Elephas maximus indicus: one gene and its partners. Each later gene encodes a partner of the first gene's protein in a complex. Links are inferred from orthologs where the notes say so. Each region holds a gene or a part of one and is shown in the gene's direction. Other genes may lie near its edges.

Region 1 (6,849 bases):
ATATGAATAGCCTTATGTAATATTGGCCCAGGTTTTCCTGCCCAATGAGTTTGCCATAGCTTCCAAAACCCTTTCAGTTTTCAAAACATTTTGGATTTTAAAATTTTTGATAAGAGATTATAGGTCTGTTGTAAAAAGAGATAAATAATGATGAAAAAGAAATAAAGATGAAAATTACTCTTTTATAGATGTACACAAGTTGTTTGCTTGCATAAAGACATACTGGACTTCTAACAACATGGACTAATAAACATATGAACTTTGTGAATACTCTTTTGGAAACTAGCCTGTTTTTAAGAAAGTTTTATTCACTAGTGTACTTGGTGGAGTCCCTGGGTGGTGCAAACAGTTAGTGGACTCAGTTGCTAACCAAAAGGTTAGAGGTTTGAGTCCAGCTAGAGTTGTCCCAGGAGAAAGACCTGGCGATCTCTTTCTGAAAAGTCAGCCATTGAAAGCCCTAGGGAGTACAATTCTATGCTGACACACGTGGGATCACCATGAGTCAAAATCAACTCAACTGCAACTGGTATTGGCATACTTTGTACCTGGCAGTCTACCTGGTGGAAACCCTGGTGGCGTACGCTGCTAACCAAAGGGTTGGCAGTTCAAGTCTGCCAGGCGCTCCTTGGAAACTCTATGGGACAGTTCTACTCTGCCCTATAGGGTCGCTATGAGTCAGAATCGACTCGATGCCGCTGGGTTTGGTGTTTTTTTTTTTTTGTCTACCTGTTTTATTATAGGACTTAAAAATAAATTTTACTTTTATTTTTTGATAGTTTTCACCACTTCACATCTCCATACTACAATCTTTTTATTATTCTTTTTGTATCGATATTATCTTCAGAAACCGCTTGTATTTATTTATTTAAATATTTCAGTTTTTTTTTCAACTTGTTTATAGTTTGCCACTTCCTCTAGAACTGTGTTGTCCAATATGGTAGTCATTAGGTACACATGGTTATTTAACTTAAAATTAGTTTACGTAAAAATAATTAATAACGTAGTTCCTCAGTTGCATTAGCCACATTTCAAGTGCTTGATAGCTACATGTATCCAGTGGTGGCTGTATCAGATAGTGTAGATGTAGAACATTTCCACCATTACAGAAAGTTCCACTGGACAGAGCTGTACTGTCTCGTTTACTGTGTTCCTAGTCTCTAGCACACTGCCTGGGATTCAACAATCAAGAAATGTTTGCTAAATAAATGTTCTTAGACAATTTGAAAAAGCCATCCATGTAAATATACAGCTAAGTGTCTCTTTTGAAATACAGATTTTTTTTTTTGTCTAAGCAAAATGTTTAGTTTTATTAATTGGGGAGATTGAGTAACCACTTTGTTGCAAGATCAAAAATATGGAAAAAAAAAAAAATCCCTGACTCCAAAATTGCAACCATATTACACTCTACATTCCCTTGCTGTATTAACCACTCTCTCCTAAAGTATGTGATGCCATTTTGTACTTCTTCTTTTTTTTTTTTTTCTTTTGCAATATAGATGTTTGAATAGCAGTGACTCTTAGGAGCTAAAATGCTTTCTTTGATAAAGTAGAAGATTATATTTTAGACTGTATTGTAGTTTTGATTAATAGCTTTCAGTCAGTGAATGCTTACTATATGCCAGGCACTATTCTAAGTTTTTTACACATATTACCTCATAAATCTTCACAACAACCTAATGATATATGTATTATTCCCAATTTAGAGAGGAAAAAACTTAAACAAGAGGAAAGTAACTTGCCTAACTTCACAGAGCTATTAAGTGACAGGGACAGGATTTGGCCCTGTTACAGATTGAATTCAGTCTTCCCCAAAATGTGTATCAACTTGGTTAGGCCATGATTTCCAGTATTGTGTGGTTGTCCACCATTTTGTGACCTGATGTGATTTTGCTATGTGTTGTAAATCCCAGTTTCTTCTTGTGGTTAATGAGGAAAGATTAGCATGTGTTAAAGAGGATTAGGGTAGGATAGGACACCCTTACTCAGGTCACATTCCTGATATGACCTAAGGAGACCTTCCCTGGGGTGTGGCCTGTATCACCTTTTATCTTACAAGAGATAAAAGGAAAGAGAAGCAAGCAGAGAGAGGGATCTCATACCACTAAGAAAGAAGCAGTAGGAGCGGGGTGTATCTTTTGGACCCAGGGTCCCTGCTCTGAGAAGCTCCTAGGCCAGGGGAAGACTGATGACAGGGACCTTCCCCCAGAACCAACAGAGAAAGAAAGCCCTTCCCTGGAGCTGGCACCCTCAATTAGGACTTCTAGCCTAGACTGTGAGAGAGTAAATTTCTCTTTGTTAAAGCCATCCACTTGTGGTATTTCTGTTATAGCAGCACTAGGTAACTAAGACAGGGCCCAATTGGTCTAGCACCCAAGGCCATGAACTTAAAATAACACTGAGCTCTTTGTGATTACTTTTAATGTGGATCATTTATCTCTTTTTTTTTTCAGTATTTATACCTCTTATTTTTCTTATTTAATTGCATTTAGCAAGGACACCCTGAAAAATGTTTAATAATGTCTGTGATCATGAAGCTTTTCTCACTAGCTTTGAAGGTTCCTCATAAACTGAGCTTACCTTACTGTTGATTCCCAACCACGCCTGTGTATCATTCAACTTTCTTACATTTCTTGCACTTGCCACAGATCTTCCCACTTCCAGGCCTTTGCTAAGTTCATGCCACTGGTCTTGCTAAATCCTAAAAATTGAGTTTGGGATGGGTGGTATAGGGTGGTGGTGACTGTGGTAGAAAAGGAATTAACATCTGACACAGGACTGTGTAGCTGTTTGACATACCTCAGAATACCCTCAGAATCCTGGGAAGTTTTGTTATTTATATTTTATGGCTGGGAAAAGAAACTTGATGAACATGATACACTAAAAAGTTGAGGCGCCAGAATTTAAACCAAGATTGCTTGATGCCAAAGTGATTGCTGCTTCCACTACGTGTCTCACCTCCTCCATTGTGTTCCCTGTCTACTGCCTGTCACTTTGCCCTGTGCGTACTACATGCCCCAGGAGTAGTTATATAGACTGTACCACAACATTTAACATTTCATTACACTCTCGTGTTTTCTACTGTTTCATCTGTGTGCTTCTTGTCTCACACCGAGCAGTTATTAACTGAATAATCGCTCAGTCCCTGTTTGATTATCAGACTCCAAATTTGGGTATTTTTTCTTTTATAATAAGGGGTACCGAGAAAAATAAAAGGGAAAGGTGAATGAATACGAAGAATTTTGATCGTGTTAATCTTAGCCATATACTGCAAAAAAGCAAAAAGTTCCTTTCGAAATAACTTTAAGTCTGTGTAGTGTCTCTGCGGCTTTTTATCGATCTCTGAAAAATTAGTACTGAAAAAACGACGAGATTTGGCATTTGTAAATATTGATCCTCCCCATTCTCCCCCAAGCACATCAAAAAGTGGCAAGATGCTGGAAATCGCACCTACATCACGGACTTCCTTACAAGGAAAGCTAGAAAAAGAGGGAGTCTCTTCCAACAGCTGGCACAAACCCTGACCTTCCCCTCCCAACCGCAGCCTGATGGAACATTCCATGCGAAAGATTTGACAGAGAAACCACTTGGAGTCACGTGGAGTTGGAGCGTACTCACGGCGCCTTGCGGAATGACGCGACCTTGGGTTGCCAAGGGGCGGGGCCAGGCTTCGCGGAAGGGGCGGGGCGAAGGAAGCCGACCGGGAAGGCGGGGCGGACGAAGTGGAGGGGCGGGCGAAGAGGGGCGCGCGGGCGGGGAGGGCCCAGCGTATTATGGGATGCGGCGGTGGAATGGCGCTGGGCGCGTGATTTTGAACAAACCCGGGTCTGTGTCTCGGAGGCGCCGCCGCCGCCGCGGCTACTGGGAGCCCAGGGAGCGCGGCGCGAGGAGGAGGCGGCGGCGCCGCCGGCTTTGGTGAGCGTCAGCCCCCGAGATGGGGGCTTTTGAGCCGGAGGGCGGGAAGGGAGCGCCGGCCCCGGCTGCGGGAAACGGCGGGGGCGAAGGGCGCCGGACCGCCCCCTCTGAGAGCCCGGGCGGGGAGCGGGAACTTGCCGGCTGTGGGCCGCGGCGCCCCATCCCTGCGGAAGGGTCCTCGGGTCTCAGCCCCTTTCCGCCGGCGCCCAGGAGGGCGGCTGTCACCCGGCAGGGCCGGCACTCAACCGGCCGGCTACCGTTCCCGGCAGCCTGGAGGAAGGGCTCCGGTGGCTGTTGACACAGCGCGGCTAGAGAAGCCGGCCGTGTCGGCCCCGGGTTTCTGGGAACCAGTTTTGCTGCTGTGTCATTTTGTACCGGCCCCTCCTTTCTCTGCTGCCCGCCACCCCATTCTTCCTATGCTCCTTTGTATGCCACCTTCTTCCTGTGTGTCCGTTTTCCTCGCGAAGCCCACCAGCCAAATGTCATAATGTTCCCGAGGTGCATGGGGGAAGGGAGCAGACTGGGACTCAGCTTGGCCAGGCAACGGTAAACAACCAAGCGGAGTGCGGGTGGCCCGGACAGCCGGTGGGGCCATAAAGTTTAAAGATAAAGAAACTAGGGAGACTTTACACTCTCAGCGTCTAGCAGGCTGCGTATTAAAAACGGCGATTGGGCTGGGTTGGTGGACAGCACTTGTTGAAGCTGGAATCTACCGACTTTTATACGGAGTTGCCATGCAAGCAAGGTAGGGAAATGAAATGATTTATTCAACATCTACCTCACTTTTCTTAAACGAACTTTTAAAAAAGGTAGTAGAGTGGCCTAATTTTCAACCCTAAATTTCAATTTACTCGTTTCAGATAGGTCTTCTAGATCTTAGGTTGTAGTTGAATGGTATGAATTTCAGCCTTTGAATGGATGATTACCAAATTTTTCCTGAAATTGACGAAGGTGGTCAGTTTAGTTTTCTTTTTTTATGCTCGTTTCATTAGAAGCCCTGTAGCCTATGCTTTCTTGTTACTTCTAAGATGATTAAAAAAATACCTGTCTATGTTCTGTTTTAGTTACTTATGAAACTGCATGATGGGAGGCGCTAGTGGGGGTGGGTGGTAACTCTGGGGTCTTGTTCCAAAGCAAGCTGTTTATTTTCACTGTATTGAACAAATATGTCAGCGGCAGATGGTTTTTTAATTTGGTGACTTGGATCCTAAAAAAGTTTGACAAAGAATTTTAGTTTAGAGCTATATTTTCTATATTTTTAGAAATTGATCATTCATGCATTTATTTCCATAATTGAATCAATACATTTTAAGCTTAGTTGCACTTTGACGTCTTAAACTAATGACAAATCGAAAGTCACGATGTTCCTGGACAGAAATTATCAGATAAAATTAAGTGAAGAGGAAAGTAGTTTGGAGTCTGTTTGTCAGACTGTGTGTTGAAATCTTTATTTAAAAAAAAAAAAAAACTGTTTTGACCACAGTAGTTACATGAGGATCAGTACCTGTAATTTAAAAAGCAGGTATCAGAGAGGTCAAACAGGCATATGGAAATAACTCATTCTGTCAAGGTAGTTCTGACGGTGGAGTAAAATGTCAAGAGTAGGTGAGTGACGTTAAAGGTCTCGATAATGTCTTCAGTGTCTGATACGGACATAGTGAAACGCATTCCATCATCTGTCTCCAGTTGTTTTTCCGAAAATGAAAGAGTTTAGATCCCTTACTGTCTTTATGCCACCCTCCGCATTGCGTTTGCTCTTCAAATAAAAATATGCCTGACTTGGGACCCCGCAGATGGCGGGGCTTCCTTTCGCAGCTCTGCGGGGCTGGCAGGAGCACCATTTTTCGTTCTGGGGTGAAAGGTCTTTGCGTAGGCTGTGTGTACATTTGTGTCTCCCGTGTGCATTTGAAGGTTGGCGGGGCCGGCGGGAGGTTTCCCCGGATATGTGGGTGTGTGCTTTTCGGGAGGGGAGGACCTGGGAGGGGAGGAGGAGGAAGGGGGAGGTGACTGGCGGCGGCGGCGGCGGCCCGGGCTGGGGCTGTCGGGGAAGCTGCTGAGCTGTGATGGTGATGACGAGGTGAAAATGGCGGATCTTTCGAAATACAATCCCGGCCCCTGACATACCAGAGGCGGCGGCTGCGGCGGCGTCGCCACACGGCTCCCTTACCGGTCTCTGGGTACCCTGTAGCGCTCCAGTTTGGGCAAACTGAGAAAGGAAGCGGCTGGCCCGAGCTATCTGGCAGAGGCAAAACAAGCACCGCCCGGGCTCGGAATTGCCCGGGACCTTCTGGAGCCCCCACCTTGGAGCCGGAGGGAGGAGAAAGCGGCAGCCGCTGGAGGTAGAGAAGAAGGGGTACCCGAGGGCCTCTCTGCCTTGAAATCTCTTCTTGGGGGGGGAGGGGACATTTGTGTTGTGGATCAACTAATGACTTGTCTGTAGTGCAAAGAATCAGTAGCCTCATAATGACATCAACAGTATTCTTTGGGTGTTAAGAAGGCTCAAATTTGCTCTTATACCTAAGGCTGCTGCCGAGGCCTAAAGGAACCGCTAGCAAATATCTTGATTTCTTGATTTAATAGTTAACCTATCCACTCTGGTTGGTCAACACCAGATGATGTTTAGCAGTTTATGGAGTTGTACGTTTCTTTAAGGAGGCTGAGCATTGGCATTTTATTCTGCATTTTAGATCTGTGTGTTAGGTCATAGTCTATAACTTGTTGGGGTATGGACGGTCACATTTAAGCATATGGACCAGACCAGTTTTCTAACAATTAAAAATGTTGTCTTTTTTATTTTTTTAATGGCTCTTTCTCCCATAGAGTGACCCGCTTTGCCCCTGCTATTTGGCAAGTAACAATTGAGATACTGTCAGTCATATTTCATACCCGTGTTTTTCAGAGAAATTCTTTCCTAGCCCCATCCATTTCATGAAGTCA
Region 2 (7,045 bases), on another chromosome or scaffold:
AATCTCTCCTTCTTAGACATCTTCAGAATACATCCCCCTTTGTCTAGCCCTCCTCTCATCACCCCAGCCTATCCTATCACTATCTCTCACCTGGGACATCCTAACAGGACTCCCAGCCTCCAATCTTAAACCGTCTGAATCTAGCCAGAGGGGCTTGCTAAAACAGAAATCTGATCAGATCAGTTCCCTGTTTAAAACCCTGCAATGGCCTCCCACTACGTTTAGGATAAAGACTAATCTCCTCAATATCGCTTATAAGACCCTGTCTTTACTTCTCCAGTTTGACAGTTTGCCACTCTCCTCCTTGCTCTCTATGCTGCAGCCATTCTGAACATGCTTTGTGCTCTCATTGCTTCTGCACATGCTGTTCCCTCTGCCTGGGATTATTTCATTCCCACTGGCTTGGCTTACTCCTATTCCTTTAGGTTCCCATTTAGCCATCAGTTTCTCCAGGAAGTGTCACCCTCAGGTCTGAGCTAAGTACCTAACTGTGGAGTTCACAAAACACCCTGAATTCCTCTATTGCTCATACCACTACACGGTTGTGTCCTCAGCCCTTGGCACAGTTCCTGGAATACAGTAAGTACTCATTAATATTTTGTGAGGTAAAGGGGTGAGTCCTCATCAAGCCACCTTTTGATATTAATTTTGCTTCACTCTCTTATAAGGTAGAAAATACAGTCATGTGTCACCTTAACGGCCACGATAAATTCTGTGAAATGGAATGTTACGTGATTTGGACGTTGTGCGAACACCATAATACAAGCAGTCCCTGAGTTACAAATGTCTGACTTATGGACAACTCATACTTAAGAATGGACTGCCATAAAGGCTGTTATATTAAAAATTCAAGTTAAATATAATGGTTCATAATAATGAACGCATGCACTACTTTGTGATGCTCATGAAAACATTATATGGTTTGGAAGTGTTTAAGTATTTTATATGCATAACCCATTGCTGTCAAGTCTATTCTGACTCATAGTGACCCTATAAGACAGAGTACAACTGCCTCATAGGGTTTCCTCAGAATGACTGGTGGATTCCAACAGCCAACTGAACTGCCGACCTTTTGGTTAGCAGTTGAATGCTTAACCACTATAGGGCTCCTTTATATGTAAACCAAACCAAAACCAAACCCGTTGTGGTCGAGTTGATTCCAACTTATAGTGACCCTATAGGACAGGGTAGAACTGCCCCATATGGTTTCCAAGGAGTGGCTGGTGGATTCGAACTGCCGACCTTTTGGTTAGCAGCCATAGCTCTTAACCATTACCCCACCAGCGTTTCCTTCATATGTAGAGAAGGGTAACACATATACTGTTTACTAAGACAAACATTTGACTTACTGATGCTAAATAAAAACCGTATGTACCTGTTTCGACTTACCTACAAACTCAGCTTGGGAACTGGCTGTATATAACTCTATTACAACCAGTGGGGCCATGGATGTGTATGTGGTTGGACGGTGCCCAAATGGACATTATGCAGTGCATGACTGTACAACGATCAGCCAACTTGAGCAGTCTACATTTAGTTTTATTTTTTTTTCTTACACACAACCTCTGCACTGTCAAGAGGGCATAAAAGGCACTGTATCTGGTATACTAGAACATAATCACAGAGTTTTTGATGGGTTAGATTGCCTATCTTTTCTTCATTTCCCAAGAAACACTCTTCATTATCATTGTTGCTGAAGAAAATATCCTATGCCCAGATGCATCAAACTTTTTGCTCTCTAGATGTTTATTTCATACTTGCTATTTCCTTTATCAGGAACTCCTGTTTCTCCTTGGCTAATGGTCTGCTAGTCTTATAAGACTCAGCCCTAGAGCCAACCCCTTTTGAAAACTTTTCCAGAATTTGGTCCAGGGTGAGTGTGGGGCATTCTCTCTATGTTCCTATAGCACTCTTAGCACCCCTATTTTTCGCACTTATTGCATTACAATAGGGGAGCTTTCAGTGAATATTTTACTTACCTCTCCTTTCCCAAAGCCTGAGACAGTACCTGATACAGAAAGAGACACCAAGATTTAAGTCCTGAATTCTCAGCTCTATTAATAACAAGTCAGGTGACCTTGAGTGATCATAAGTGTCAGGAAATTTACTTAGTATATTTATTAATTCTAATCCTTAGTTACCTGCAAAGTGGTAGAGCTGGGATAGTATGACTATACTCCTCAGTATGACTGTGAAGCTGTGTTCTTTCCACCATATCACTAAGGCAAGTCATTGAGTCTCTTTAAGACTGGTTTTGTTACCTCTGAGTGGGAGTGATAATATCCCAAGGAGCAAAGGTTCTAGGTAAATTTTACCAGCCACCTTAACAAAGAAGATAAACTGAATACTTAAAATAACTGAAAACATGTACTCTCTCCTTGATCCTTTTAATAAAAAAAAAAAAGTTTTTTTTTTAATAGTCCCCTAATATTCATGGCTCCCAGAATCTAGACTATCCTCTATCCAAGTTTCCTGATACTGCAACTCCTAGTTGCAAAGGATTACTATTTCTGTTCTTTTCTTTTCCAGGTCATTTCAGAAGTTTCTTCAAATGAATCGAAAAGTAATGTCTGTTTCTGAAATAAAGTACGTGGGTAGGGAGAATCTTCTTGATGCAAAGTACAAAATACCTACTTGAAGCTCTCAGTGACTCATTGTGATGGAGAGGGGGCAAAGCAAAAAAGCCAATTTCAGGAAAAGATTTCAAGGAGGAGTTGGTAGTGGAAAATATAAGGTGGGAAATTTGTTTCTCTACTACTAAACAAGGACACTCCAAAAAAAATAAAAACAAAACAAAACACCAAACCCATTGCCATCAAGTTGATTCGAACTCATAGCAACACCATAGGACACAGTAGAACTGCCCCGTAGGGTGTCCAAGGAGCGGCTGGTGGATTCAAACTGCCTACCTTTTAGTTAGCAGCTGAGCTTTTAACCACTGCACCACCAGGGCTCCAAAAAAAAAAAATTAGGAAAAAAAATCACAGCAAGAAATATATGAGCGGAGCCAGACCACCAGATAAACCCCTGCAACCCACTTTTCCATGGTGTCACGTTAAAGAGCACATTTAAACATGAACCTTTGCTGACTCTGTCAAGAATCTTCAAAATGCAATCGTTTCTGCAGTAGAATTCACTGAAACCTGGGGCAAGGGTCACAGAATGAACTTTCAATCTCCTAGAAGTGTACACTACGTACCTGGTGGGTGCACCGAAAGAGATGAGAACAAGAGTGAAGGCAGGGAGGGGCGGGGCCAGAGAAGCGGAGGCTCCGCTGTAAAGCGGCGAGGCCGGGGGTGATAGCCCAGGGGTGACGGCCCAGGGGGTGATGGGCCAGGGGTGTTGGCCCAGGGCTGGATCTGGGACAAGGGAGAGTACAAAGTGAGGGGTGGGGAGGACAGGGCCGTACGGGTCGGGTGTGAACTCCAGGGTCAGTCAAGAGGGGTCTCGGCCAGGAAAACGGTCCCACCCGAGGTTGGCTTAGAGCGTGCGCGGAAAGGATCCAATTCCTAGCTTCGCGATCCCTCGGCGGCACCCTCACTCGCCTGCAGGATCCGGGCCCGCACTGCTGCCGCTGCTACCACCGCCGCCATGGCTCCTCGCCGCCTCTTCGCCACTACTGCCTCAGAGGTCCCCAGCAGCGCCGCCGCTGCCAGGACCCGCCCCTCCATCCTGCCGGACCTCTTCATTTGCAGAGAAGACCATTCCCCTTAGCCAATCAGTCGCCCTCATTCCCAGCTGGGGATGTGTGATTGGCAGAAGTGGAAGAGCTCTTGCCCCCTCCCACCTCAGCAAATTCTATTGGCGGATGTAGGGAAGACGCCCCCGTGACTTGGGCGCTCTAAAAGGAGACGCCCCCTAATCCGGAACTCCGATTGGCCACAGGCATGACCACGGGCCGCCCCCTCCCCTCACTGAGGAAGGTAAATAAGATCTTCCAAGAACTTTGTAGTCGCCCCTCCTCAACAACAGCGTTAGGGGGTGTGGCTAGCACCGAGGGGGCGGGGCTAGGCAAAGATCGCCCTACGCGGCGGCGAAACAAGACCCGGCCGCGAGTTGGGGATAGGGTTCCCCGTTCGGGGCGGGGCTTGGGGACTCCTGCTTTCCCGCCGACGGTTGGCCACGTCACGTGACATGGGTTGGAAGATGGCGTCTCCCACAGACGGTAAGAGCCGGCTTAGAGTCTCCGCCTGCCACCTACCTCTTTCATTGCTCCTGAGAATTTCCACTGTCCGTCTGCCCTTAGAATTTACACTTCTTTCTTGGGCCCCTCTCTTTTACTTTACTACTTCTTTTCCTTGGGATGCGTCCCTTTCGTCAGCTCGCCGGTTCTTCACCGAGGCTCCGGAGGTGCCAGTTTCCCCGCAGAAGGGCGGGGTCGCTCCGGCTCTCCATTAGCTCTATGCGGGTGAGGCTGAGGGCCGAGGAGAGGTACCTTTTACTGTAGTTTTCTCGGGGCACCCCATTGAAGGGTCGGTTCTCTTCTCATTGAGCATCCCGAGCGAGTCTCTGAAGCCCTAGGTGGGGTTGGTAGCTGACCTCATCCCGGGACTGAGTCGCAAAAGAGAAACGTGATTCTCTCCCGTTCCCTCAGATTGGGACAGTTGCTCCGGTGGCAAGAAAAGCCGGGGACCTTCTTGGCCCCTCGCCATTAAAGTCCTGAGGAGAATGCGAATTGAGCTATTTGGTGTGGTTTTGCACACGTCGCAGCCTCTCTTCATCTGTAGGTATTATTGGTTCCTCACGCCGAGTAAATGAACAGTTGTTTCTGTTTATGTGTTGTCTAAGATGCAGGTCATCTCAGGTAGCAGTTTTGTGGTTTTTTCATACCCACATGCTTTTGCGTTGGTTCTGCTTAAGAGAGTTAGGGTCTTGCAGTGATTTGTTGTTGTTGTTGAAAATATACGCAACAACACGTATACCAATTCAGCAATTTCAACATGGGCAGTTCAGTGACACCGATTACATTCTTCAAATTGTGCAGCCGTTCTCATCCTCCTTTTCTGAATTGTCCCTCCTACACTTACGTAAATTCACGTTCTTGCAGAGATTTTTAACTCACTTCATTTTTGCTTTTACCGCCGATTTCACTGAGATGTAGTTTTTCCCTCTCTCACAAACACATTGTGTTTGGAAGGAATCTTGGAAGTTCATGATATTAAGAATGAGAAAATTGAGGCCAGGAGAGAAAGTATGTCGGGTATCTACAATATGAAAGGCACAATGTTAGATTCTTTGGGAGACAAAAAAGATGAACGAAACATGTAAACACTTTTTCAGTTTCAGGTGTCATCGTAGATGTCCCTTCTCAGAGAGGTTTTCCTAGACCGCAGTATGTGGAGTTGCCCCTCTCCACCATTATTCAGCACCTCAGTATACTTCATCCTTCATTGTCAACATAGTTACTCTGTTAATTTTCCTCTTTCTCGCTGAATTATAAATGACAACTCAGTTTTATTCACAGTGGTATCCCAGGGTTTTTAGCACAGTGCTTGGCAGTCGGTAAGCCTTCAATTGATACTTATTGAATGATTATATGTATGCATAAATAATACATTACCTGGTGGAAAATCGTATGTTTTTGAGCACAGGTACCTATTGTATAAGAAATTATGGGTCAGAAGAGAATCTCCTGCCTGGATGCTCTCTTGCTAAAATGTCTTTCTTCTCCCAGAAAAGAGAGGCATTTAAAAAGTCAGCTAAGCGATAGAAGTAGAAATAATTGCTATTAAAATTTTTAGTTTATTACTACCTTGTTTTTATACGTTTTTGAGATTTCAGAGCTGTGTCCCTTTTTTGATAATTCCCTGTCTTAATTTTTTTCTTTCTTAGGCCAGGAAGAGTATTTGAAATTTTTTTTTCCCCCTTTGGTCATCCAACCATCTCTGTGGTTACTTGATTTTTACAAGTTTCCATTCTGATTTCTTACAGAATTCCACCTTTTTCAGCCCTTTTCTTTTTAATCTGACAACATCAAGTTGAACACTTTGAATTTAAATTCTGCTTCTAAATAAGCATTGCGTCAAAAAAAATCCAACTGCCTACAGCTCTCTCATTTCTATTTTTAGTGTTCCACCTGTCTCTGTCTTTAAATTTTAATTCAGATAATGCTGATTTGAAAATAAGTATGTACTGTTTAATCTTTCATCTTTTTAAGTTATACATTTGCTGAGTCTTTGAAAAGAAGAAAGTTGAAATCCAAATAAAGCCATTTAATTACTTATTATGAAAGTAAGAGTCACAGCAGAGTCTGAATAATGCCACAGACTGTAGTGTCATAAAACCACCTTTGATTATTGTGGAACCCACCGCCAATAAGTTTATTTTATTGTGGTTGAGCTTCCCATTAATAATGTTTTTGGGAATTTGAAAGTTTGCATTTTGTGTTACAGCTTTTTTTTTTTAAACCATTTCTGGATGCTTTAGTTAAGGCAATTCATTACATTTGAGCTCTTTACCAATTACAATACCATCAGAAATTCCCCGAAAATATTTGGTTTAGAGAAAAGTACATGTTTAAAAATATTATATATGTGTGTGTATGTATTTGTACATACATTTGTTGTTGTTGTTAGGTGCCATCCAGCCGGTTCCTACTCATAGTGACGCTATATACAGTAGAACAAAACACTACACAGTCCTGTGCCATCCTCACAGTCACTGCCATCTTTGAGGCCACTGTTGCAGCTCCTGTGTCAGTCTGTCTCATTGAGGGTCTTCCTCTTTTTTTTACTGACCCTCAACTTTACCAAGCCTGATGTCCTTCTCCAGGGATTGGTCCCTCCTGATAACATGTCCAAAGTATGTGAGATGATGTCTCCATCCTCGCTTCTAAGAAGCATTCTGGCTGTACTTCCTCTGAGACAGACTTGTTTATTTTTCCAGCAATCAATGGTATACTCAGTATTTGTCACCAACACTGTAATTCAAATGCATCAATTCTTTGGTCTTTCTTATTCATTCCCCAGCTTTCACATGCATATATTAGGTGTTGTTGAGTCAGTTCAGACCCTGTGTACAGCAGAACGAAACACTGCCTGGTCAT
Region 3 (7,339 bases), on another chromosome or scaffold:
CTTTATGCAATTTTAATCATATTAAATAGCCACATGTGGCTAAGTCTGCCATTTTGAATAGCACAGCTCTAGACACTGGGAAGCCATCAGAAGTTATATTTCTTTTCTCATTTGTTTTTAAACCAAAGTGTCATGGATTGAATTGTGTCGCCTCAAAAATGTGTGTATCAATTTGGCAGGGCCATGATTCCCTGTATTGTGTGATTTTCCTGTACGTTGTAAATCCCGCTTCTGTGATGTTAATGAGGGAGGATGGACGGCAGTTGTGTTAGTGAGGCAGGGCTCAATCTACAAGATTGGATTGTGTCTTGAGGCAATCTCTTGAGATATAAAAGAGAGAAGCAAGAAGAGAGACAGCGGGACCTTATACCACCAAGAAAGTAGTGCTGGAAGCAGAGCGCGTCCTTTGAACCTGGGGTCTCTGCTCAGAGAAGCTCCTAGTCCGGAGGAAGACTGATGAGAAGGCTGACAGAAAAAGAAAGCCTTCTCCTAGAGCCGACACCCCGAATTTGAACTTTTAGCCTACTTTACTGTGAAGAAATACATTTCTCTTTGTTAAAGCCATCCACTTGTGGTTTTCTGTTATAGCAGCACTAAATAACCAAGACATAAGGGAATGACATGTGTTTTAGAAAAACACTGGAAGCAGTGTGGGCATTTGGATGGTGAAATAGAGGCAAGAATAGAAAATTGCTTTCAATTCTGTATGATGATGTCTTTAACAAGGGTGGAGAGCATAGGAGGATGAGCTGGTTTGGGAAGGTAGACCAAGGATTGAATAGTGTAGAAGTTGCATTTGAGATTGTGGGATGTCTGGGTAGAGATGGGCAGTAGGCCGTTGAAAATAAGAGTTTAGAGCAGAGCAGAACAGAGAAGGCCAGAGCTTTAATTTTTTGTAATCATCTACACAGAAGTGATAGTTAAGTCATAGAAGTGGGAGTGTAGATCTTGAAGAAAAGAGCATCAAGGACAGAACCTTGAAAAATGTCTACATTTACAGCATAGAATGAAGAAGAGGAGTGAGCAAAGCAAAGTTACTTACTGTGTGATGTTTTTGAGAAACAAAGTCTTATCCATGGAAGTGGTGATAGGAATTCATTGCCTTAGTTATAGCGCTCATCAAGAAGATCAGACATTTTCCTTGAAAATGTTAGCAAGTATAGGCAGGACGTCACTGATTTCTGCTCCGTCATATGGGTCTGGTAGATAGTTATATTTAGCAACTATGGGCAAAAAAAAAAAAAAAACTTCATTAAGCTATCATAGTGTCATTTTTGCCTATAGGAATATTTTGTTAATATTTGCTCATGTTGCTAAAACACATAGCAAACTCCAGTCAAAATAACTCAGCTTATAAAGTCAGGGGAAAGAATGCCTAGGCACGTTTGGTGTTTTCGAGATAATCAATAGTTGGAATGAATGTGTTGCTTAAAGTGGAGTCCCTTATTGGTGCAAATGGTTGACATGCTCGGTTGAGAGCCTGAGGTTCAAATTCACCCAGAGGTGCCTCAGAAGAAAGGCCTGGCAATCTACTTCTGAGAATTCAGCCATTAAAACTCTATAGCGCAAAAAACAAAAGAGAAAGAAAAGAAAACCCTGTGGAGCATAGTTCTGCTCTAACATACGTGGGATCTGACATGACATGAATTAGAGTTGTGTCTTAGGCTGGGTTCTCTAGAGACGCAAAACCAGTAAAGTGTATAAATGTATACAGAGAGATCTATATCAAGGAAACAGCAGTGTGAGTGAAGAATTTGGGACTGGAGAGGGGTCATCAGGAAGGAAGGCAAGCAGGGAGAACGGAAATAGGTGGAGGGATAGAGATAGCCTGAGGGTCAGATCTATAGAGTAGGCAGTAGGGAGCAGGTCAGTTTGCTGTCTCAGTGCCTGATACGTAAGTGGTGCTCCGTAAGTATCTGTTGAAGGAAGGAATGAGTGGTGGTTAAAAAAACAGTTGCCGTTGAGTCTCTTCCGACTCATGGAGACCCTGTGTATATCAGTGTAGAACTGTGATCTATAGGGTTTTCTTTTTTTATATTTATTTTATTTTTTGTTGTTGTTGAGAATATACACAGCAGAACATACAATTTCTACATGTACAATTCAGTGACACTGATTATTCTTTGAGTTGTACAACCGTTCTCACCCTCGTTTTCTGAGTTGTTTCTCCCTCATTAATACAAACTCACTGCCTCCCCAAGTTTCCTATCTAATCTTTCAAGTTCTTGTTTTTAGTTTGATCCCATATAGATAGATCTTCAAAGAGGACAGTGCTCAGGCAGGCATTCTTTACTATTTAAGCTAAACTATTGTTTGGTTTTAAAAAGACTTAAGGGGATATTTTTGGTTTAAGGTTTAAAGATTATCTCAGGGGTTCATCCAGGCTTCATGGCTCCAGAAAGCCTAGATTTCATGAGAATTTTAAATTCTGTGCCACATTTCCCCTCTTTTGATCAGGATTCTTCTAGAGAATCTTTGATCAAAATGTTCAGTAATGGCAGCCAAGCTCCATCCAGTTCTGGGTCTCATGGCAAAGGAGGCAGTTGTTCCACAGGGTTTTCAGTGGCTAATTTTTTGGAATTAGATTGCTAGACCTTGCCTCCAAAGCACCTCTGGTGGACTTGAACCTCCTAGCCTTTGGTTAGCACCTGAGCATGTTGTTTGCACCACCCAGGGACTCTGGCTTGTAGTTAGAGAGAAGAAAAATTATTCCTACGGGAACAGTGGAATCCTACTTTGGCCCCACCCATTTAACGACTCTTGACCTCAGTCATTTCATTTCTTCCTGAAATGTTACGTGAAAGGTTATGTTAGAACAAATACTAAATGTGTGAACTTGTAATCGCTGTCCAGCTCTCCAAAGTATGGTGAGTGTACTTGGGTACCTGAAAGTTTAATTTCCTTTTGTTTTAACAGAGTAGCAAAGTAGACATGACCATAGCTAGCCCCTGAATATCCTGGTCTTGGGTGACATGGGCGAGCATTTCTCATCTGACAGGTAGAGGTGTGCAGTTCTTTTCTCTACCTGGCTGCTGGTAGGAGATCAAGAATGGTGAGAAGCAGGATGGGGCGTTTAAAATTATATATAAACATAAAATATTTTAATACACAAAATTGAGCGGATTCTGTGTAATTTCCAAGTTTCTTTTTTTATTCAAAAGTCTTCCAAAATTTGACTGCTCACAAAAACTTAGTTTGTAGAAGTTTAACCAATTTTCCTTTAAATATTACAGTGATCTCACGCCTGATAGTGGAAAAGGATTTTAGAATCAGAAAAGGTACAGGGCCATATAGGTGGTATTTTTAATTTTGTTTAAACTAGTATATATTTGTTATTGTTGTTAGGTGCTATCAAGCTGATTTCGACTCAGCAACTGTCTCATAGAGGTTTTTTTTTTTTTTACTATAATACAGTAGAACTGCCCCATAGGGTTTTTTTTGACTATAATCTTTGCGGAAGGAGATCTCCAGGTCTTTCTCCCGTGGAGCTGCTGGGTGGGTTTGAACTGTCAACCTTTCGATTAGCAGCCACTTAACTGTTTGTGCCACCAGGGCTCCTTAATATGTTTATAGCCCACTTTAATTTAGACCCTAAACTATATCATTGTTGCTATATCTCTGTATGCATCTAAGTGTAAAAAGCGGTACATAGTCTATTTACAAAAGAAAAGTTTAATTAAGAAAAAGCTCTCTTTGATCTGTTTCATTCAATGTGTATTTATTTAGCTAACAGTCCTGTTTTAGACATTGAATATACAGTACTGAGCAAAGCTCAAAATCCTTGCCCCCGAAAGCTGTTTTCAAATTTAAACCAAACCCATTGCTGTCTAGTTGATTCTGACTCATAGCAACCCTATAGGACAGAGTAGCACTGCCCCATAGGGTTTCAAAGGAACAGCTGGTGGATTCGAACTGCAGCCTTTTGGTTAGCAGCCGAGCTCTTAACCACTGAGCCTCCAGGGCTGCATTTTCCAATTAGGTGGTAACTCATCAAAAAAGGAAAGGTACCTTACTCACTAGAAACGCTGTTCATAGAGGGAGCTGAGACGTAAGGTAATAAGCCCACTGAAGTCAGGGGTTTTTGTTTGGCTTTTGTCTGTTGTGTTCACTGCTATATCCCTAGAGCCCAAAACAGTGCTTGACTCATAAAAGGCATTCAGTAAATATATGCCATTGATCCAAGTGTTTATCGTTTTGAATTTGTATGATTATAGGCATTATTTTTACATCTAGCTAGTTAAAAATTTTATGATCTCGGTTACCTTTTAATGTTTGTTCCCTACTTCTTGTTTCTCCTTGTGCCCACGACCAGGATGCAGGGAAAGCTTACTGATATTGATAATTAGTCTTTTGATTATCTGATTTTATAAAGAATAGATTTGGGAAGGAACAGAAGAAGTCAGCTTTGGTTCCACTTCCTGGCTAGAAAAACTGAGATGATTAAGTACATATTTTTAATTAATCATTTTTAAAACTGGGACATTAACTGGGGCTCTCTTGAGAAAATGGAAAAAGGTACTTAGCGTACATAAATAAAGGGGGGAAAAAAAAACGTTGCTGGCGAGTTGATTCCGACTCACAGTGACCCTATAGGACCGAACAGAACTGCCCTATAGGGTTTCCGAGCAGCAGCTAGTGGATTGGAACTGCTGACCTTTGGTTAGCAGCTGAGCTCTTAACCGCTGCGCAGGGTAGTAATCTGAAAATTTTAGAACCTTTAACTGTGTGAGAAAGTAAACACACACAGAGACACACACAGACACAGACATGGACACGGACACACACAGACACAGACACAGACACACACACACACACGACTAAGCTGCTCTTTGTTGATATCAGAAATGGGCCTGTCATTCATTTTGGCATTGAAGCGTAGCCTCCTATCTCAGGGGGCAGGACCAGGTTTTTTTTTTTTTTCCTCTCTCTCTCCCTCTCAGAAGAGCCGGACAGTTATTTCAGGTTCAAAAAGCTTTGACCAACTTTTCAAGAGTTTCTTCCCATTTTTATTCGTGTAACTCTCGGTGCTTTTGCTCTGCTTTCAAGATGCATTCAGATCTGCTGCTGCGTGACTGCTTCAGAGCCAGCAAATACCCTGAAATGTGTAATTCGAATTTTTCAGCTTTCACGAGTAAGTTTAATCTTACTTTTTAGCCAGCTAAAATTCAAGTGATTAAATTCAAGTGATTTTTTTAGAGAAGCGTTAGCTTGGAGTTAGGCATTTCACCATCTCACCCCTTTTATTTTAAACATAATAAAAAAAAAAGAACTTTAGTAAGAAAGCAAGGTCCAACATAGAAAGGCTCCTTAAAAAAGCCCCTTTCGGTCTCTTAGGACCTGTGTTTCCAGTTTCTTTTGAAGTCTCTTTGTTACGTTAGGCAGTATTTAGAGGTCTTTTAAAAGCCAATAGCTAGTTTTCTTGAGCATCTTTTTTCTTTTTACTGAGGAGTATTTTAAATGGATCTTTTCTGAGCTCGATTGCTTATGTCTGACACAGTCTCAAGTTTCCACTGAATGGTAACAAAGACTGTAGAGTGTTGTTGGTACTGCAGTGAGAGGCATGCTTCCTTAGACCAGGTAAGAGAGAGCATTTTGTTTCTTAGTGCTGGGTGAGTTTTTACAGCGTTTGCTTTCTGTTCTTTAAACAGCAGCAATGGTAAATGGGTAAATAGCTAAGAGCACGCTGAAATCAAGACGTCCTTGCTTGTTGCAGACAGGGAAACTACAGGGCATGGGGGTTGGGGTGGGCTGGGGGGGAGGGGTAGAGTTAGTTTATCACTCAGTTACTTACCTAAATTCATTAAAATGTGAAAATAATTCTAGAGTTCAGTGTTTTTCATTCAAGAGCTACAGAAACATTTGAGGACGGGAATAATTTGAAAGGTACTTTGTGATTTTTAACTTCTGAAAGCAATTCAAATGATTTTTACTTCCATTTCTTTCTAGCAGTTAATAAACTTTACCCTTAACTATACATTTTTTTTTTTTTTTATGGAGAATTTAAATTGTCAACAGCCAAATAGGCTTCCTCGGGATCTTGAGGGATAAACCTGACACTTGAAAAATATTTCAGATTTTATAGCTGTTTCATGCCTTTTTTTTTTTCCACCTAGAACATTTTTCTTAAAACTATTTGTGCTTTGAAAATGTCAGCTGTATTCTAATGAAGCTCAGGCATTGTTTGCTCATAAAGGGACTGGTGCATTCCACTGCTTTATGGTTTATTATGAGGCAGTGTGAGGGTGTGGGTGGCACCATTTGGTGTCTGCCTCTCGGGGCAGTGACTGCCATTATGTTAGCTTTGGGCTGGCAAAGAAAATATAGCATGCAAGATTCTATATGCATCTGGATCCCGTAAAGAAAAAACTCTAAGCAGTTCTGAGTGAGCCGGGAATGTGTGACAACTTGATTGAGTTGATCACTTCAAGTATACACTTTTCAAGTCTGCATTTTAGTGACAATGGAACATCGGTCACCTTTCTTGTTTTTTGATGTGTATGGAACTTAGCCATTCTATGCGCTTTAATTAAAAAAGTGAATCTTTCTAGATCAACGGTGACATTGTATAGATCCAGCACAATCTGAAATAATTTTAATACATTTACTTTAGAACAAGTTTTAAGGAACTTGGTGTGGGGGGGGGGGAGTGGAAGGGGGAGATCAGGGGGAGAGCCTTCCTTTCAGGCAGGAAAGCCCTGATGAAGAAAGAGCAACAGATGTTTCTTCTGTTACAATTGAGGTTGTTTCATTCAAAACACAGTAGCTGGAATGGGGAGGGGAGGTCATAAATCTGACTTAATCAGTGAATCAACAAAGCTTAGTCTTTTAAAATTTCTTTTTTTATACTCAGGATTTGAACATCAGTATTAGAGTAACATATTTGGAATAACCAACCCATTGCAGAAACTTTGTTTCCCCCATCTTCAAAAATTGTGTGTAATTAATGCAAAAGTGGGATATTTTATTTTAGACCATTTAACTTAAGGAAAAAAAAATTGAGCATCAGGTTATTGAGAGTATTTTTCAAAAGTTAAGTCATTATAAAATATCTAGGGACTACTCAGAGAATGTAAAAGTTTGTAATCTCGTGATAGTTAGGAAGGCTCAAAATGAATTTGAAAATGTGAAACATCAGTTGTGTATATTGGTAAGTCATTTCATCTTCTATGAGAAGCATGAAACTTATTCCAGAAGATCTTTGAATAAGAAATGTGAAAGAAATATTTTGGGTTTAATTGAAATGCTGTCTTGCTGTTTTGCCTCTCAAAAGATAAGTAAGCTTAGGGTCCTTGCTAATGGAAAAAGGGGAGAGTGATTATCTGCTGCAAAGAGAAGGATG
Region 4 (7,386 bases), on another chromosome or scaffold:
AATGGTTAAAAGTCTGGGAAATCTGAAAGTCATGACAAAGAAAGAATCAGTATCTTGCACATAGCAGGCTGCAGTGCAACAAATTGCTATTATATGGCCCTTCTAGCCATGGCTTTGTAACTCCCACAAAATAATTGCAACTCCCACACACTATAAAATAGTGTGTATAACTCTTCCTGGGATTGGCTGGGACTATGCAAATAAGGTGTCTGTGGCCCACCAAGGGGATTAGTCAGTTTTGCCATGCCGCTAGATTTAAAGGAGCTAATCCTACGAAGAAGAAAAGCTAGGAGCAGAACGCCTCCTTTGGACCCAGGGTCCTTGCACAAAGAACTTCCTAGACCCAGGAGACAGTGACAGCCATAACACTGGAAATGGCATGAGAACCCAGACACTGGTGCAAGATGGCTGCAGTGAGCATCTCAGCCCACAGTGCGAGGTGTCTGCAGTGGCCTCATCAACAGAACAAAAGAGCTGAGCACCTGCAGGCAGGAAGCTTGCTGATGGAGTGGGGGTGCCTCTGGGCACATGTCAATGGAGCTAAAGAGCTGTAACATTTGCCCCAGCGGAGCAGAGGCCAGGCCCATGCAGGGCACAGCAGCAGAGGCCTGCTTGCAGGCATGGCTGAGAAGATGCTGTCCTGATCAAAAAAATTATATCCTGAGTTGTTTCTGGTATTTCCAAGTTGATCTTGATCCTGAATTGTAACCTGTTACTTCACTAATAAACCCCATACTCGTGAGTATGGTCTGTGAGTTCTTTGTGGCCACTGCAATGAATTATCGAAACTAGCAGAGAAGTAGGGAGTGCCATGGAGGGATGGCTGGTGTTTGGATTGGTAAAAAGGTTGGAGAGTGGTGAAGGTATGTATGTCTGACCTCCACCTCATGGGAATCATCTTTGGGCTGATGCTGATTGTCATCTCTCCCTCTAGAGTTAGACAAGGTCTGACACCGCCATCTGTACACAAGAATTCAGTAAACATTTACGGAATGGAAAAATGAAGAGTTTTCAGGCCTTAGTGAATGCATGAAGTGGGAAACGGATCAGGAGAATCAAATTCAGTAGAGAAGAAGAGAAGGGCTATAGTACATAGCCTGCAATTCACTGAAAACTAAACTACTGAAAAGATGAAAAATGGTGCAATGAGTACCTACTTTTCTTTGTTTGGGGATACTGGCCTTGACAACAAACCAAGATAAGAGGAGACCAACTGCTCTCTAACTCCTGAGAGCAGCTGGTCTCCTCTTATCTTGGTTTGTTTTCAAGGCCAGTATGACCCTCTGCAGTTCAGATCTGGATACAAAAATTGACTAATTGTAGCAAAGGCAAAGAACTTGAGGAGTCTCATCTCTTGTAATCTTGTCCAGGACCACCTATGAAAGCCAGTATCCCCATGAGGTAGACTTACTTATACTCCATTTTTCCTCAAAAAATCCTGACCATGATGTTTATATTTGACAAACCCAGGGAGTTTTCTCATTGTTCCAAGCCACTCTCAACTCCCTTTTGCGTGTTCCTCTATTTTCCCCTCAGTAGAACATCTAGCAAGACCTGCTTAGTGTAGGTGTAAAGTGATGACCTTCTAAACCGGAGCTATGAAGAGGAAAGCCAGGCTTGGCTACCTTCTCTAGGGTCCTGCTACATTGATTATCTTCAGTCTCTCTCAGCCTGGTCCTACCCCTGATTATTCACATGCCTGAGTTTCCCTTATCCTAGAAAATACCCTTCCTTTGCTTCTCTTCTACCAAACTTGTTACAGAGTTTCTACTTCCTACCTCAACATTCTGACCTTCTTCCCAGTAGACCCTCAACCACAGTAATCTGGCTTCCACTTCCACCATGCTAAGGAAAACTACTATAGCAAAGGTCACCAGAAGCATACGAATGATAATATGAAGTCTTCTTTGAATTCTTCACTCTATAGAAGTTCTCAGTGGCACTGGACTATGGAGTACTACTTTTCTGACCTTTGAGATACCACTTATTGCTTTTATGCCCCTCTGGCCCAATCTCTTTTTCACTTACTCCTCAAATTCTGCCCATCCATCCCTTTAAATGTTGTTGTTCCTATTCTATCCTTGGGTCTCTTCTCTTGCCAGCTCTCTTCCTGAGTGATATCAACCTGCTCCCTTATCTTTAGGTCCAGCCTGAAAATTCCCAGTCCTCATGTCCAGGCTGTCCCCACTCCCCAAGCTCTCTGCTGAGCTGGAAGTTCTCTTATATAAGAGCAATAAATTATAAAACAAATGAGCTGCTACAAGAGAAACTTCATCTCACCTCCACTGTTCCTGACATTTCTTTGCTGACTATATTCACTCCAAGGAAGGGAGTTAGCAAGAGGGATAACCCCTGCTACAGACTCAGTGGTGCTGGAGATAGACACCAACTGCCCATAACCAATCTTTTATTGCCATGTACCGTTGATTCTGACTCATAGCAACCCTGTATGACAGAGTAGAACTGCCCCATAGGATTTCCTAGGCTGAAATATTTATGGGAGTAGACTAACAGGTCTTTTCTCCTAGAGAAGCCACTGGGGAGTAGCAGCTGAGCGCTTAAGCACTGAACCACCAGTGCTCCTTACCCTGAGTAGGTACAAATTCATGGGAGGAGACCCTTCTTGCACACACTGTGTGCCAACATTCCTTCCAGAGAATAATGAGGTGATCCTGAAGTCAGCTGCATTAGTAGTTCCTAGAAGTAGAGTTGGAGGTACCACACAAGTGGTTCAGAATGAGTTTGAGTTTTGGGGGGGTGGTGTTTGAGTTTTTGCTAATTTGGGACCTAGTTTGCAGCTGATTCCCAAGTCTCATCCCTCTCCATGTGTGCAGAATGTAGAACACTGAGAAACTGCCAAGAGAGAGGGGGACACCTTCTGGAACCCAATGGCCTTGCTTAAACTTCTCGCAAGCATCCCAGACTCAACAACTCCAGAACTCATCTCATCCATCTGCTTACACTTCCATCCCAATTAACAGTATCACTTTCACCCCCTTGGCCTGGATGGAAACCTGTGTTATTGGGACTCTTCCTTCTCCAGCAGTGGCTCCTCCAGTTCTAGGCTAGAGACCCCTCCTCAGGCTGGCTCCTTCCTGTGCTGAACCAGCCCCTTACTATCTCCTGCCTGGACTTTTGCATCACTCCCCAGAAGACTCCCTGCCACCAGTCTCTACCCCAACCAATTCATGGGGTAGCCAGAGGGACCTGTCCAAAATATAGATTGATCATCACCTCCCTGCATTAAAACCTGCACTGCCTTGAGGGTAATGTCCAGGCTTTTAGTGATGCATATGAGATCCAGTGACTCCTTTCCCTCATCCACTCAACACTGGGCTCTTTGTAATTTTTTCAATACTGAGTGCCTACCACTAATCTAAATATTGGATCGACAGTGATAAACATAAAAGTTTTTGCTCTCATGCAGCTCAGATTTCAGTAGGAAGAGCTGGTCAATAAACAAGTAAGATCATTTCAGATAGTGATAAGGTGCTATGAAGATAATGAAACAGGGTATGGGGAGGAAGGAAAGTCAGCTACTTTAGACACAGAGCTCAGGGATGGACTGAGAAAGTGACACTTAATTGAACTGAAGTGAAGAGGAGCCAGGTAAGCAAAAAGCTGACAGGCAGTTTGGTCAGCATATGAGAAAGACCTTTTGAGGCAAGAACTAGCTTGGCATTTTCCAGAGTCCAAAACAAAGTGAAGCTGGAAGTACAAGGCACTAGATGAGGCGGGCCAGGTTACATAGGGCCTTGTGGGCCACGGAAAGGAGCTTGGGTATTATCTTAAGCAAAGGTATTCGCAGAATGATATTAATCAAAGGAGTGCCATGCTCTGATTTACCTTTTAAAAAGATCACTCTGGCTTTTCCTGAAGTTTTGTTGGAACAGAAGGATAAGCTCTAAGACCTGAAGAGTATTCCTAAGCCTGAAATGGCTGTCTTTATTGAGAAAGTTCCCAAAGTCTAGAGAGCTGAAAAAGGGACTCCTTAATGATGAATGGGGAGATACCCCTTAATATACTTGCCTCACCAGCCCTGTGATAGTCTAGAGCACATTCATCCAACACTGGAGACATCCCAGGAGGCACTGCCTCCATCTCGCAATTCAAGTGCCTAAGCTCAGTCAAAGATGGGCTGTTTGGCGCCTCTGGACACCAACAGAGACAGGGCTGATAAGACTGGCGGGGCAGAGGACGCTTCTCGCTAAATAAATGTCACCCCAACCCCTCCCAAACCGGTAAGAGCGGTGCCGCCAGCTTCAGGGCAGGATGCGGACTACAACTCCCAGTAGGCTTCGCGCGCTGGCTGCAGACCCCCCCCCCCCCCGCTCTCTATTTGCCGCCCTGGCTGGCCCACCGCTGCCCTTCAAGGGCCAAGTACAATTTTTCCAGGACCCAAGATCCGTTTTGTTATCCCATTTCTAGAGAAGGTGGCTGGGAGCTCAGGAGAGGAAATGGACTTTTTTGAAGAGAAAAGCGGAGGGAGACGATGGAGAAGGCGTCGCTAAAGTGTCGCTGATTTTCGCGCGCTTTGGCGCGGGTGGTTGTGGGTAGCGCGCCCGGGAAGGAGGTTGGAGTCGGGGGGCTGCGACCGCGCCACCCGCAGGGCCTGAGGGGATGTTCGAGGACGAGGCCCACGCGGAGGGGGCGGCGGTGGTCGCCGCGGCCGGGGAAGCACTTCAGGCCCTATGCCAAGAGCTGAACCTGGACGAGGGGAGCGCGGCCAAAGCCCTGGACGACTTCACCGCCATCCGGGGCAACTACAGCCTAGAGGTGAGCGGCCGCAGGTGGGGCGGCCGGACCGGACCCTCGGCGCAGTGAGCCAGCGGCCAGGCCCCACCCCCGCCCCGCCCCGCCCCGCCGCTACTCTTTGGGGTGGTGGGAGTTCCCCGCCGAGAAGGGTCGCTGCCAGCCGGGCGCCAATAAGTGCAGAGCTGAAGGGGCGGGTGTAGCTCAGTCAGCCCACCCAGTTTTTGAAGCGGGAAACAAACCCAGAAAAGGAGCGGCTTGTCCAAGGTCACATTTCAGTCAGGGGTCTTCTAGACCCGTGGCTTCCACACCTGACCTCCCTCCAGCCCGCCAAGCGTCACACACGCAAAGGTACCGCCCGTACATTTGTAAAAACAAATACGGTAAAAAAAAAAAAAAAAAATTTTTTTAGTGAATTCGCGTTCCAAGATACTGCTCAGGGCTTTAAATATGCCATCTCAGTTCTCTCCACAACCCTCTGAAAACGTTCTCTGATCCCATTTCACAGTTGAGAAATCTGAGCGCCAAAGAGGTGTCCAACGTCACAGGGCTATTAGTGGAGCCAGATATTGGAGTCAGCTTTTTAAAACCCTTCCAAGACCCGTGGGACATGATGTGTCCCACTCACTTTTTATGCCTCTGGAGTTCTTTGGAAAGGGAGTAGCCCGATTTTAATGTGTTAGCCTCAAGGTGAGAGCCTTTTGAAATGTGTGAAACTCGAAAATCCTGAGTGGGAGCCTCATTTTTGTGTAGATAATTTCAGATGTGTGAAATTTTAAAACTTCTGACAGATTTGCTTTTATTTCTGTGAATTAAGCGTCTTCACTGTGTTTCCCCGTTACTGTGTTCTCTTGAGAATAAACTCTTGCCAGTCTTCATTTAGTCATAGTGGCCATTTTCTCCTTTATGCCATTCGTTGTTTCCAGGTGTTACTGGTTCCCTTCTTTTCCAGCTTCTGAACAGTAAATAATGCTTTTCCAATAAGGAGTAAAACATGACAGTGGTACTTTTCAAGAGATTGATTGGAACTCCTATAAGTTATTCTCACCCTGTATTCAATTCCAGGGCACAGTAATTGCTTCCCTGTGTAGCAGATGGAATGCATCAGGGTGAGCAGTTCTGCTGTATTCTAGGGCAGCTGTTTCTGCTGCTTAGCTGTTCGTACTATGTTTGTTATAATGAAGCATACATATTAGCAGTAATTTTCCTGAGATTCAAATCCCTTTATTTTTATTCTAAGCACTGCTTTTGCCATAAGGAAGAAAGCATTGTAGTGATAATTTTCCTGAGATTAAAAAAAATCCCTTGGTTTTATTTATCTGGGCTGTAAATACTGCTTTTGCAGTAAGGAAGAATGCATTGTTCATGTTTTGAAAAATTTCATGAAAAATAATAAAAAGGTCGTCTTGGTCATCTAGTGCTGCTATACCACAAGCGGATGGCTTTAACAAAGAGAAATTTATTTTCTCACAGTTAGTAGGCTAAAAGTCCAAATGCAGGGCGCCAGCTCCAAGGGAAGGCTTTCTTTGTTGACTCTGGAGGAAGGTCCTTGTCATGAATTTTCCTGTGGCCTAGGAGCTTCTCTGTGTGGGAACCTTGGGTCCAAAGGATAAGCTCTGCTGCTCATGCTCCTTCTTGGTGGTATGAGGTCCCCATGTCTCTTTGGTTTCTCTTTTATATCTCAAAAGAAAATGGCTTATGACACTATCTAATCTTGGAGATCTCATCAATATAACTGCGGCTAATCCATCTCATTACATCATAGTGATAGCATTTACAGCACAGGGAAATCATATCAGATGACAGAATGGTAGACAATCATACAATACTGGGAATCATGACCTACCCAAGTTGACAGATATTTTGGGAGGACACAATTCAATCCCCGACAAAGGCTAAGAAAAGTGAGACTAGAATAAAATGTGTGTGCAGTCATTACCATGTGCTTTCATGTTTTACCTCATGTTTTGCAAATTTTCAAGAAATTAAAAAAAAAAAAGATTTTATTATTGACTCATAGTGGTAGAATTAGTGTCTTCCAGGGGCAGCTGGGATACTGGGATCCCAGATAATGGGTATCAAAATTCATAACTCATAACAAAAATTCTGAATTGATCCTTTAATCAGCATGCCTTCATCAGTGAAAGCACATAGTATCAACAAAAAATTCAAAGGAGAAAGTAATTGGGTCTTGAAAGGGTTAACCTCTCTACCTTCTGCCTCACTAGGTTGGAGGAGAGGGTTGCTCACTTTGTAGCATTGCATTGTACAGTAGCTTGATCAAAGCTAGTATGCAAACAGTGCTTACCTCTCAACCCCAATCTCCTCCTCTGTCAGATGAGGATAATAGTACTTAACACATTTGGTTGGTGGTATGATTAAATGTGTTTACCTGATGCCTAGTCTAGTGTGGACTCTGAGTAAAATAAATATAGGTAGTCCCCAACTTACTGTTCTGTTTCTACCACTCCATTCTAAGTTGGCTCTGACTTAAGTGGAATACCTTTTTTTGTTATTGTTGCCATTATTGCCTTTTATTATCAGTATCTTTATAAATTGGATCTTTATTTCTCTTTGGGCCTTTTAAACATTAATATAAGCTTACAGATATTAAAAAAAAATTTTTTTTACAGA

What was found. The genes of interacting proteins can lie anywhere in the genome.
Region 2: LIN54 (region 1) and LIN52 share a complex: the UniProt entries of both Homo sapiens proteins name them as parts of the DREAM complex. The link is inferred for Elephas maximus indicus from reciprocal best matches to the Homo sapiens genes LIN54 and LIN52.
Region 3: LIN54 (region 1) and TFDP2 share a complex: the UniProt entries of both Homo sapiens proteins name them as parts of the DREAM complex. The link is inferred for Elephas maximus indicus from reciprocal best matches to the Homo sapiens genes LIN54 and TFDP2.
Region 4: LIN54 (region 1) and RBL1 share a complex: the UniProt entries of both Homo sapiens proteins name them as parts of the DREAM complex. The link is inferred for Elephas maximus indicus from reciprocal best matches to the Homo sapiens genes LIN54 and RBL1.

The regions. Positions count from the first base shown.
Region 1 is NC_064823.1:73,313,186-73,320,034, forward strand, and holds the start of LIN54 (protein lin-54 homolog), read left to right. Parts: upstream 1-3,828; 5' UTR 3,829-3,912; intron 3,913-5,931; exon of another isoform or gene 5,932-6,251; intron 6,252-6,849. UniProt on the Homo sapiens protein: Component of the DREAM complex, a multiprotein complex that can both act as a transcription activator or repressor depending on the context. In G0 phase, the complex binds to more than 800 promoters and is required for repression of E2F target genes.
Region 2 is NC_064828.1:86,789,187-86,796,231, forward strand, and holds the start of LIN52 (protein lin-52 homolog), read left to right. Parts: upstream 1-4,039; 5' UTR 4,040-4,134; coding exon 4,135-4,165; intron 4,166-7,045. Other genes in the region: ALDH6A1 (methylmalonate-semialdehyde dehydrogenase [acylating], mitochondrial), read right to left, coding at 1,980-2,008, 3,200-3,359, 3,546-3,593.
Region 3 is NC_064841.1:17,687,961-17,695,299, forward strand, and holds the start of TFDP2 (transcription factor Dp-2), read left to right. Parts: upstream 1-4,333; 5' UTR 4,334-5,046; coding exon 5,047-5,131; intron 5,132-5,434; exon of another isoform or gene 5,435-5,577; intron 5,578-7,339. UniProt on the Homo sapiens protein: Can stimulate E2F-dependent transcription.
Region 4 is NC_064843.1:32,489,373-32,496,758, forward strand, and holds the start of RBL1 (retinoblastoma-like protein 1), read left to right. Parts: upstream 1-4,380; 5' UTR 4,381-4,620; coding exon 4,621-4,776; intron 4,777-7,386. UniProt on the Homo sapiens protein: Key regulator of entry into cell division. Directly involved in heterochromatin formation by maintaining overall chromatin structure and, in particular, that of constitutive heterochromatin by stabilizing histone methylation.